Oryza sativa Japonica Group: one gene and its partner. The main gene of each other region encodes a partner of the protein of the gene in region 2 in a complex. Links are inferred from orthologs where the notes say so. Each region holds a gene or a part of one and is shown on either strand. Other genes may lie near its edges.

Region 1 (4,271 bases), on a different chromosome or scaffold from region 2:
GCCAGTGCCTATACCTCAGAAGGCATGAGAGAATTTCTGCGGTTGACATCGTGGTGCGTGAACCCGACGAGCGAGCATCGCCCATCGATGAACTTGGTGGAGGCGGAGATAAACCGAATTCGCGAGCAAGAGATGAGGATGACCACAATCATGCCAGAAAGCACACCAACTGTGACTCTAGGTAGTCAGCTCTTCACAACATCAGGTTGAAGAAGAACTAGCTAGTTTCCTCTCATCATCAGAGTTATAGACTAGCAATTCCCTTTCCATTTATTATTTCTCTCTCTCTTTTCTTTGGTCTTCATAGTGATTCAGCTGTAACTCAAGTGTACAAAAAAGGAACAGCTGTGAGGTTCCCTTTATTCCTTTTCCTGTACAAGAAAAGAATGATATTTCCTTTTCTTTTACATATTGATAATATTGGAGGCTGATGCCAAAGTTATTCCATTATACTACTATATATATCTATTGAATTAGTGATGTCATTCACAGGATTTTCTCCATTACATTGGGGGGAAAACAAAATACACATGACAGAATTTTCAGTCTCCTTTTGTACCTGGCTGAGAACTTCAGAGTTGAGACTGTCAGAGACATAGAAAGCAGGCCTTACAGTAGATGAGATGATCCATACACACATCATTTCATCTCAAAGTTCTTTATTTTGAAGAGACTCATCTTGCAGCTTTGCCACCCTGCTTTTCTTTGGAGTGGTTCTGATTTTCTGAACTGTTTCTGCAGCTGCATCTAACAAATGTGACCCCCCATTTCTGAATACCATATCTAAGACGATTTCACAATCTCATCTCTTCTGTCGACGGTGAAGTCCCAGAGCTCGCCGTACTTCTCGTTGAAGTCCCAGATGTCCATGGTGTTGTAGTCGGCGATGAGCTTGTCGCGAGCCGATCTCTCCATCATGTAGATCTCCGGCTCAAAGTTGTGTGGCTTGTCCGGTTTGTCCATCTCGATAACGCAGAACACGACGACGAACACTGCTGCGCCGATGTAGAGGTACTCCCCCTAGTGGCAGAAGTAGACACATATTCAGAGAGCTCAAGAGCCAAGACAGATTGTGAAATGTGATACATGTCAGTAGGCTGGAACTACTGCTCAATATGTTACCGGAACATTGAAGGCCATGCCAAGGATGATTGCAGGAGGAAACAACCAGGAGATCAGTGCTGCAAGAGATGGCCCATCAGTGCAAATTGAGCAAGCTTGTCTTAAGAGAAGAAAGATCTGATTTTTTTTCTCTGATTTATCTGAAAGAATCTGATTTTTCTCTGATTTATCCAAGTGAGAAAGGAATTTGGCTGTTACTACCTTGGAAGCCCTGAGGAGGTTCAGCTTCTTGGTACCACTCAGAGACATCCTCCCAAAAGCCCTTCTTATCTTCAGTGTCAAATGATTTTTTTTTCCACATCATATCACATAAGAATCAGAAATTAGCACACATGAGCATGATTACGCATTTTGATTCAAGGAATGGATAACTGGATAAGATAGCCCAGAAAAAGAACCTTGGGTTTCATTATATGTGTGGTGACCATCATACACTCCATACTCGAAGTCGTCCTGCAAAGCAGATTCTTTTCAGTGTCAAAACCATTTCTTCAGACAACACAGCACAGCAGCAGCAATCACTGAAGAAAGAATCAAAGAAACCATGGAAACTGCTTGGAATAGAGAAAAATAATGAAATTCTCAACACGGTGGCCGGCGACGGCGAGGAGGACAGACCGGGCTGACGCCGTTGGTGCGCCACTTATCAATGGGGTCCTCGTTCAGGTCGGGCTCGATCTCCGTCAGTGGCCCGGGCCCCGCCCTCGCCACCACCGCCCGGCCTCTGCTCCGGCAGCAGCAGCAGCCGCCATGCTCCGTCTTTAGCTGCCTCGCTGCTACTGCTGCTGCTGCTGCTGCTCCTGTTGCTGTTGCTGCATCGTCATGACGAAGGCGAGCTTTTGCAGTGGCAGACGGTGACGCAGAAATGGCGGACACCAAGCTGCTGCTGCTGCTCATCATCTCGCTCCAAACGCTGAGCTCTGCTGCTCGCTTCTTGCTTAGCTGGTAGCTGCTGCTGCACTTATACTTTGCTGCAAGGAGACAAAAACAAGAGGATAATGGGTATGGGGCATGTACCGTCCAGGATTTTTCGCTGCTTTTTTCCTCTTTTCTTTCTTTTTCTTCATGCCTGGAAAGAAATCTGCATCACCTCATTAGTCAGTCAGTAATCAGGTCAGATATGCATGATAATCTTGTGAATGAATAGAACTAGTATTTGTTAGTACTACATTATTGCATTCTGATGAATCTGAATTGTTAGCAACAGCAAGCACAGAGCCTTGTGTTTTACACATCAGGAGAGACAAGGAAAAGACAACTGCAACATGAGGACATGATTTGTAAATGAAAAGAGCAGAAAAAGAACCAGCAACCCAGTGTCACTGTGTCGGACGTCACTGATTCAGTGGCTGAGATACAGTGCACCATCAGCAGCGCTTTTTCACTGCTTCAGTATGCTTTTTATGCGTCATACTTGGCTCTTGTGCCTTGAGTTAGCAGGCTGCTGCATTTCTTGTAGGAGTATTCATTAACTGAACAAACAAGGCAGCAGTTCATGAACCTCTTTCCACATTTTTTTTTACTGAAATCTTTCCACATTTTGTTCCAAGAAGAAACTAAATTTCTTACAACATGCATTAAACATTGCATAATACAGCAGGTCCTACAACAGAACAACAATAGCATATCTGCTCAACTTCCATCGGAGAATTATTCCGCAGCCGTCCAGGACCTATTGCCCCCCTAAACTGCAAAGAAATCAGTGTCAGGACTTCTTGGAGTATTCCAGAAACAATATAATGTCCCATCCAAAAAACCAGAAACAATCTAATGATGGAAGCCTAGAGTCCACCAAAGGATTACCTGGTTCAAATAGAATTGGATAACTAGCTTTGTCTGGCCTTCATAACCAGCTCTTCTGTAGTAGCGCCAATGATCTCATTGGCACGCTTCAGAGATAGACAGCATATTCTTCCAATAGAATCCTGCAAGCATCACTGGCTTTATTATCCATGATTAAAATAGAGAAAATGCGAGTAACAACATAATGGTATTTCATTTAAAAATTCTTTTAGATTCTATACATTCTGAAATTTATCTAAGTTTTTTTTGGGGATATATATCTCACTATGATTTGGTACTGCTGTAACAAGCTGTAAGAACTCACTCTTGTAATGATGCCAAGCCTCTCTAACTTCTGAACAGCATCCATCACCTCAAAATTGCATTGCAAGCCAAACTCTTCTTGGATTAACTCTTCACATTGTAAGTCAAGATCCTAGCATTGAGTGCCAAGAATATTCAACTCAATTTTTATACTTGCACAACTTCAGAAACAAAACATGCTTGTTTCAAATACCAAAGCAATACCTCAATAGTCGCCTTTCCATTTTCCATCAAAATATAGTAGGAAATTATAATCTCCTTGACCTGGACATCAGAATTCAGAAACCACAAAGATGAAAATAATTGTGAGCACAAGTCTCTGATATGCTTATTCTGAATCAAGTACTACAATATGGAGACCTACTTCCTGCTGAATCACATCATCACAGAGATGGAGAAGTGTGCCTTTCCCACTATCTAGCTGTTTGTCATACATTGATTGAGTTATTAGGTTTTGATATGTTGCCATGTTCTGTTGAAACCTGAATCAAAGGTAGCTTATTTACCAAATTTGTCCAATACAACCAATACAGCAAATAAAGTATCATCATAAATAAGAAAATGCTGAAGGAATCAGGGAAGCAAAACTGCATTTTATGGAGGTATTCTAAAGTAATTCTGGCTGGATGAGTAAACAAAAATCCTCCCTGTCCCTGCTCTATTATATACACAATGCAGATTACCGACAAGATGACAAGACGAATACCCAATCAAAACAAATATATCAACCAAGGCACTCACGATAAATAGATCTTGGCACAATATCCAGCCAGGGCAGAAAGGACGGCAACTACAACCCAGAAATCAGCTTTAGGCATTTCGAGCGAACTGACAAGTGTAACCTGAGCAATGTGAAAAAAATAATCATCAGGTGATGAATCACAACCCAATCAAGTGCAACCAGTTCCAGTCCACTTACAAGTCCAATGACAACAGAAACAATAAACTGAACCCAGTCCATTGGTGTGAGGCTTGGATTTTTCTTCTCAGGCTGCAACAGTCATAATTTCTCTTCAGCATAAGTCCAATTGAAGAAAGCAATA
Region 2 (3,620 bases):
TGATCAAGTTCCTTTTCGCTCTGTTCAGCCAGGGGTCATGGTTCTGTGGCTTACCGTTTTGTCGGAGGAAAAATGTTAGGTGTCGCTGGCGCTGCTCTGAATGAGCGGAATGGTGACCTGGTCTTGACAACAAAATTTTAGTCTGAAGATTCAGATGACTAGCTTTGTTGAAACTCTAGGAACTTATTCTGGAAATAGTTAGCGGGTTTGGAGGGGAACTTATTCTGGAAATAGTTAGCAAGTTTGGAGGGCATTGTAATTGTTGTAATATATGAGTTGCAAACATTCTTTCTGAGGCCTGTGTACTTGATTCCTTTCGCCTCTGTAATGTATTGGTTTGATCGTGCACACGTCTGTATAGAAACGCTGTTGATCTGTTAAGTCCTTGGCTCCGGAGACTATGGCCTAATGGTCTGCCTTTTTAACTGATGGCTACTCGTCGCTTGCAAGTTGCAACTGATGGTTGAACCGATTCAATCAACATAATTAGATGGCTATAATAGAAAAATAGCTCTAATAGCATACACACAATTAATTAATTGAAGTCTATAAGGTAATTATGCATCCTTTTTCCTGGAAGCTGAGCCAGGGTGTTCGATCCAGCACTTTTTCTAGTGGTAGATCAGCGTCTGTATGTATGTATGTATCTACATGACTACGAAGCAATAAAATAAAAGATATTTCTGCAATTGAACTGCCTCCCATCACGCGGTGAGGTCGGACAGCTTGAAGGAGTCGGCGACGACTTTGAGCCTGTTCCTCAGCCTACTCCATCGCCGCTCGTTCGCCGTCACGATCAGTGTGTAGTACCGACCTGCCATGCCATTGCCATTGCCATCAGGTTAACCAGCTTCTTCTTATGAGAGGAAAAAAAAATACATGCATGATGAAATATACAATTTAATAGATGATGATGATATATATCTCTGCGATCTTGTGGTGAGGAGGCATCATATCAATATCATACCGTTTCCAATGGCAACCGTCGCAAATGCGGACACGCCGTAGCCCGGGGCCTCAAGATCGTACTCAAATGTCCAGTAGTTCTTGCCATCCACGGTGCGCTGCGAATCACAACAACTCAGTTGCTTATTTTGCTTGCAGAGTTGTTGCAGTCTTTGTTATAGCCATTCCAATGAGATCAGACGTAAATTAATCAGCGAAAGAGCAATGCAGCGACAGTTTGGTATACTCAGATAGATCATATGGCTAAATAGTATTGATTGAAGGAGATGGATAAATGGCAAACCTCTTGCATGTCATAGACAGTTGGTATTTGATTTGGAGCAGCATAAACATTGTTCACCAAATTGAAGATCGCCTGATAGAGGAGTATGTAAATTGTCAGAATAAAAAAAATCTATGATGTATAACAAAAGAAAAGGCTAAAAAAATTGCCTGATTCCTTTACATTACCAAGAAAGATATTATCAGATATCGCATGAAATCCTACCTCATCCATTGGACCAAGGTCACGGATATCTGTTTTTGTAGTAGGAATGAAGCCCACACGCACGCACTGCAGCGCTACATTACGATCTTTGAACGCTGAATCATGCCCCAGGAAGTCGAAATCCTGAAGTGACACATCAAAACAAAGGGCATACATCAATACCATGTACCACCGAAAACACAGTCATTGGAACTGACATCTCTGTTCTTCAAGACGAAAATATTGCAACCTACCCTCCAATCAGCTGGATACAGGTATGAATATCCATCTTTTGAATCCACATAAGACTTGTAATTCTTTGGCACTTCTGGAATATAGGAACAATCCGAGTTAGTATCATCTCATGGTGCCATAAAGGCTTAATGGCTACTTGAGAAGTGGGAACTTGTATGTAACATGCAGACAACCTAGTACTGAAATAAAACCATGCGACAGTTCAGATGGCCATGCCTTCAGCATATGCAGAGCTGCTCTTTAGCAGACCAGTGGCTAATGCTCCAGCACCAAGCAGAGCTAATCTCCTCCTTGTCACATCTGTAAGATGGAGAGATAATCAGCCAAAAAAAATGTTAATCTTCAGAAACAAAATGCATCGAGAGAACTGACAGAGAGGAATTTACTCTTTTCATCCGAGGATGCTTCACTCGAGCTAGCGTTGACGACTGACAGAGGAGACGCATTCAGCTTGCTGGTAACAGCACAATTTGGAGCAACCAACTGAAAACAACACCGATATAAAGTGGTGAAATAAACAAGATTCAGAAAACGATGAGAAGAGGGCACAAGCACACACCTGCTTGGAAACGGAGCAGATCAAATTCTGCAGGCTTGCCATTTCACCTGCAGGAGTAGCTATGAACCTGAAGAAAATACGTGTTCTTGCCTTCCTCCAGTCAAGTTATCCTTTGCTGCTAGGACTGGCTCGTTCGCTTTTCAAGTGTAGTCTGTGTGTCTGTGTGAGTGGAGGGCAAGGAAGCCAGGTCAGCATTTCCATTATCCTCATTAGAACTTTTGGCCTTGTCTCGTACTGAGCACTGACTGACAAAATGGGACCAATCCGTTCCTGTTGTGATTGTGGTGGAGATATGTGAGAGCTTTATGTTTTTCCAATTCTCTTTTTACCTTTTTTTTTGTACATTGACTTTGGCTGAAAAACAATATATGTACACACACACACACACGATCCTACCATCAGATCATGCGATACATATTCGATAGCTTCGATGTAACAAGAAAGATGATTTTGACTGTGCTTCAAACTTGGTAGATAAATAGTACAACAGCTGCGAACTAACGCATTTAGCCATAGCAAATAAGCAAAGCTGCAATTAGCAACCATAGTGCCACTAGCATAACAAGACTGAATTTGCTCCAGACTGTTCACAGCGAAAGGGGATGCTTGAAACAAAATTTTCAGGTTAACATAAATAATATACAACAGCAGCTAAGATATTTTGAGGCTAGTAGTTCTTTGGGGCAGGTTTCACTAAACCCAGTCCAGAACCACTCCCCAAATGCTTGAAATCTCTCGCCTCTAGACGCTCATCATGGGCAGCGAATCCAGTTCCTCCTTTTTCCAAAGGAACGAAATTCCTCTCCTTGCACGGTTTGTTGCACACCAAGCAGACCTTATCAGTTACAAGGAACTTGTCAGAGCACTTCTTGCAGAAGACATGGCCACACGTGCTGATCGTCACCAGGGACATGGTGTTTGTTAGGGTAGACTTGCAACTGGGGCACATGTAGCTCTTCTCCACCGACTTCTTGTTTTTCTGGTCGGTGTTTTCTTCAGTGAAGGAGATAGGGAAGAGCGATTTCAACTTGAGCTTCTCCTGTCCCTCGGGGCAGATTGTGTCAGTGGAGGGAGCTTCTACTTTGGCAGTAGCTTCAGGTGTAGCTGATGGAAGCCAGAATGCCTTCATGTTGCGAAGGGCTTCCTCCTCAAAGGAAGTAACCTTCACGCTGTTTGCTCCATGAAAACCATTCTTGTCTTCAGAGCCGCTGCGATCGTGGTATTGGGGGACGGCTCCATGATTCTGCTGATCAAAAGCGTCCAACTCCTTGGACTTTTGCAGCATACGCTTCTCATCCTCCTCTTCCTTCTCCAGCTTTTTCTGGGCCTCATGAGCAGCAAGTTTGCTGGAAGAACAAGAATTAACACTCAGAA

What was found.
Region 1: photosynthetic NDH subunit of lumenal location 1, chloroplastic (region 2) and photosynthetic NDH subunit of subcomplex B 5, chloroplastic share a complex: the UniProt entries of both Arabidopsis thaliana proteins name them as parts of the chloroplast NDH complex. The link is inferred for Oryza sativa Japonica Group from reciprocal best matches to the Arabidopsis thaliana genes PnsL1 and PnsB5.

Annotation. Positions count from the first base shown.
Region 1 is NC_089035.1:41,426,965-41,431,235, reverse strand, and holds photosynthetic NDH subunit of subcomplex B 5, chloroplastic, read right to left. Parts: upstream 2,801-4,271; 5' UTR 2,023-2,800; coding exon 1,741-2,022; intron 1,576-1,740; coding exon 1,521-1,575; intron 1,393-1,520; coding exon 1,324-1,392; intron 1,182-1,323; coding exon 1,123-1,181; intron 1,021-1,122; coding exon 784-1,020; 3' UTR 440-783; downstream 1-439. Other genes in the region: serine/threonine-protein kinase-like protein ACR4, read left to right, coding at 1-210; uncharacterized protein, read right to left, coding at 2,949-3,047, 3,230-3,340, 3,433-3,492, 3,593-3,710, 3,970-4,070, 4,148-4,219. UniProt on the Arabidopsis thaliana protein: NDH shuttles electrons from NAD(P)H:plastoquinone, via FMN and iron-sulfur (Fe-S) centers, to quinones in the photosynthetic chain and possibly in a chloroplast respiratory chain.
Region 2 is NC_089037.1:9,604,753-9,608,372, reverse strand, and holds photosynthetic NDH subunit of lumenal location 1, chloroplastic, read right to left. Parts: upstream 2,409-3,620; 5' UTR 2,289-2,408; coding exon 2,247-2,288; intron 2,171-2,246; coding exon 2,074-2,170; intron 1,988-2,073; coding exon 1,904-1,987; intron 1,761-1,903; coding exon 1,687-1,760; intron 1,577-1,686; coding exon 1,454-1,576; intron 1,322-1,453; coding exon 1,250-1,321; intron 1,065-1,249; coding exon 968-1,064; intron 815-967; coding exon 705-814; 3' UTR 501-704; downstream 1-500. Other genes in the region: E3 ubiquitin-protein ligase CSU1, read right to left, coding at 2,914-3,592. UniProt on the Arabidopsis thaliana protein: NDH shuttles electrons from NAD(P)H:plastoquinone, via FMN and iron-sulfur (Fe-S) centers, to quinones in the photosynthetic chain and possibly in a chloroplast respiratory chain.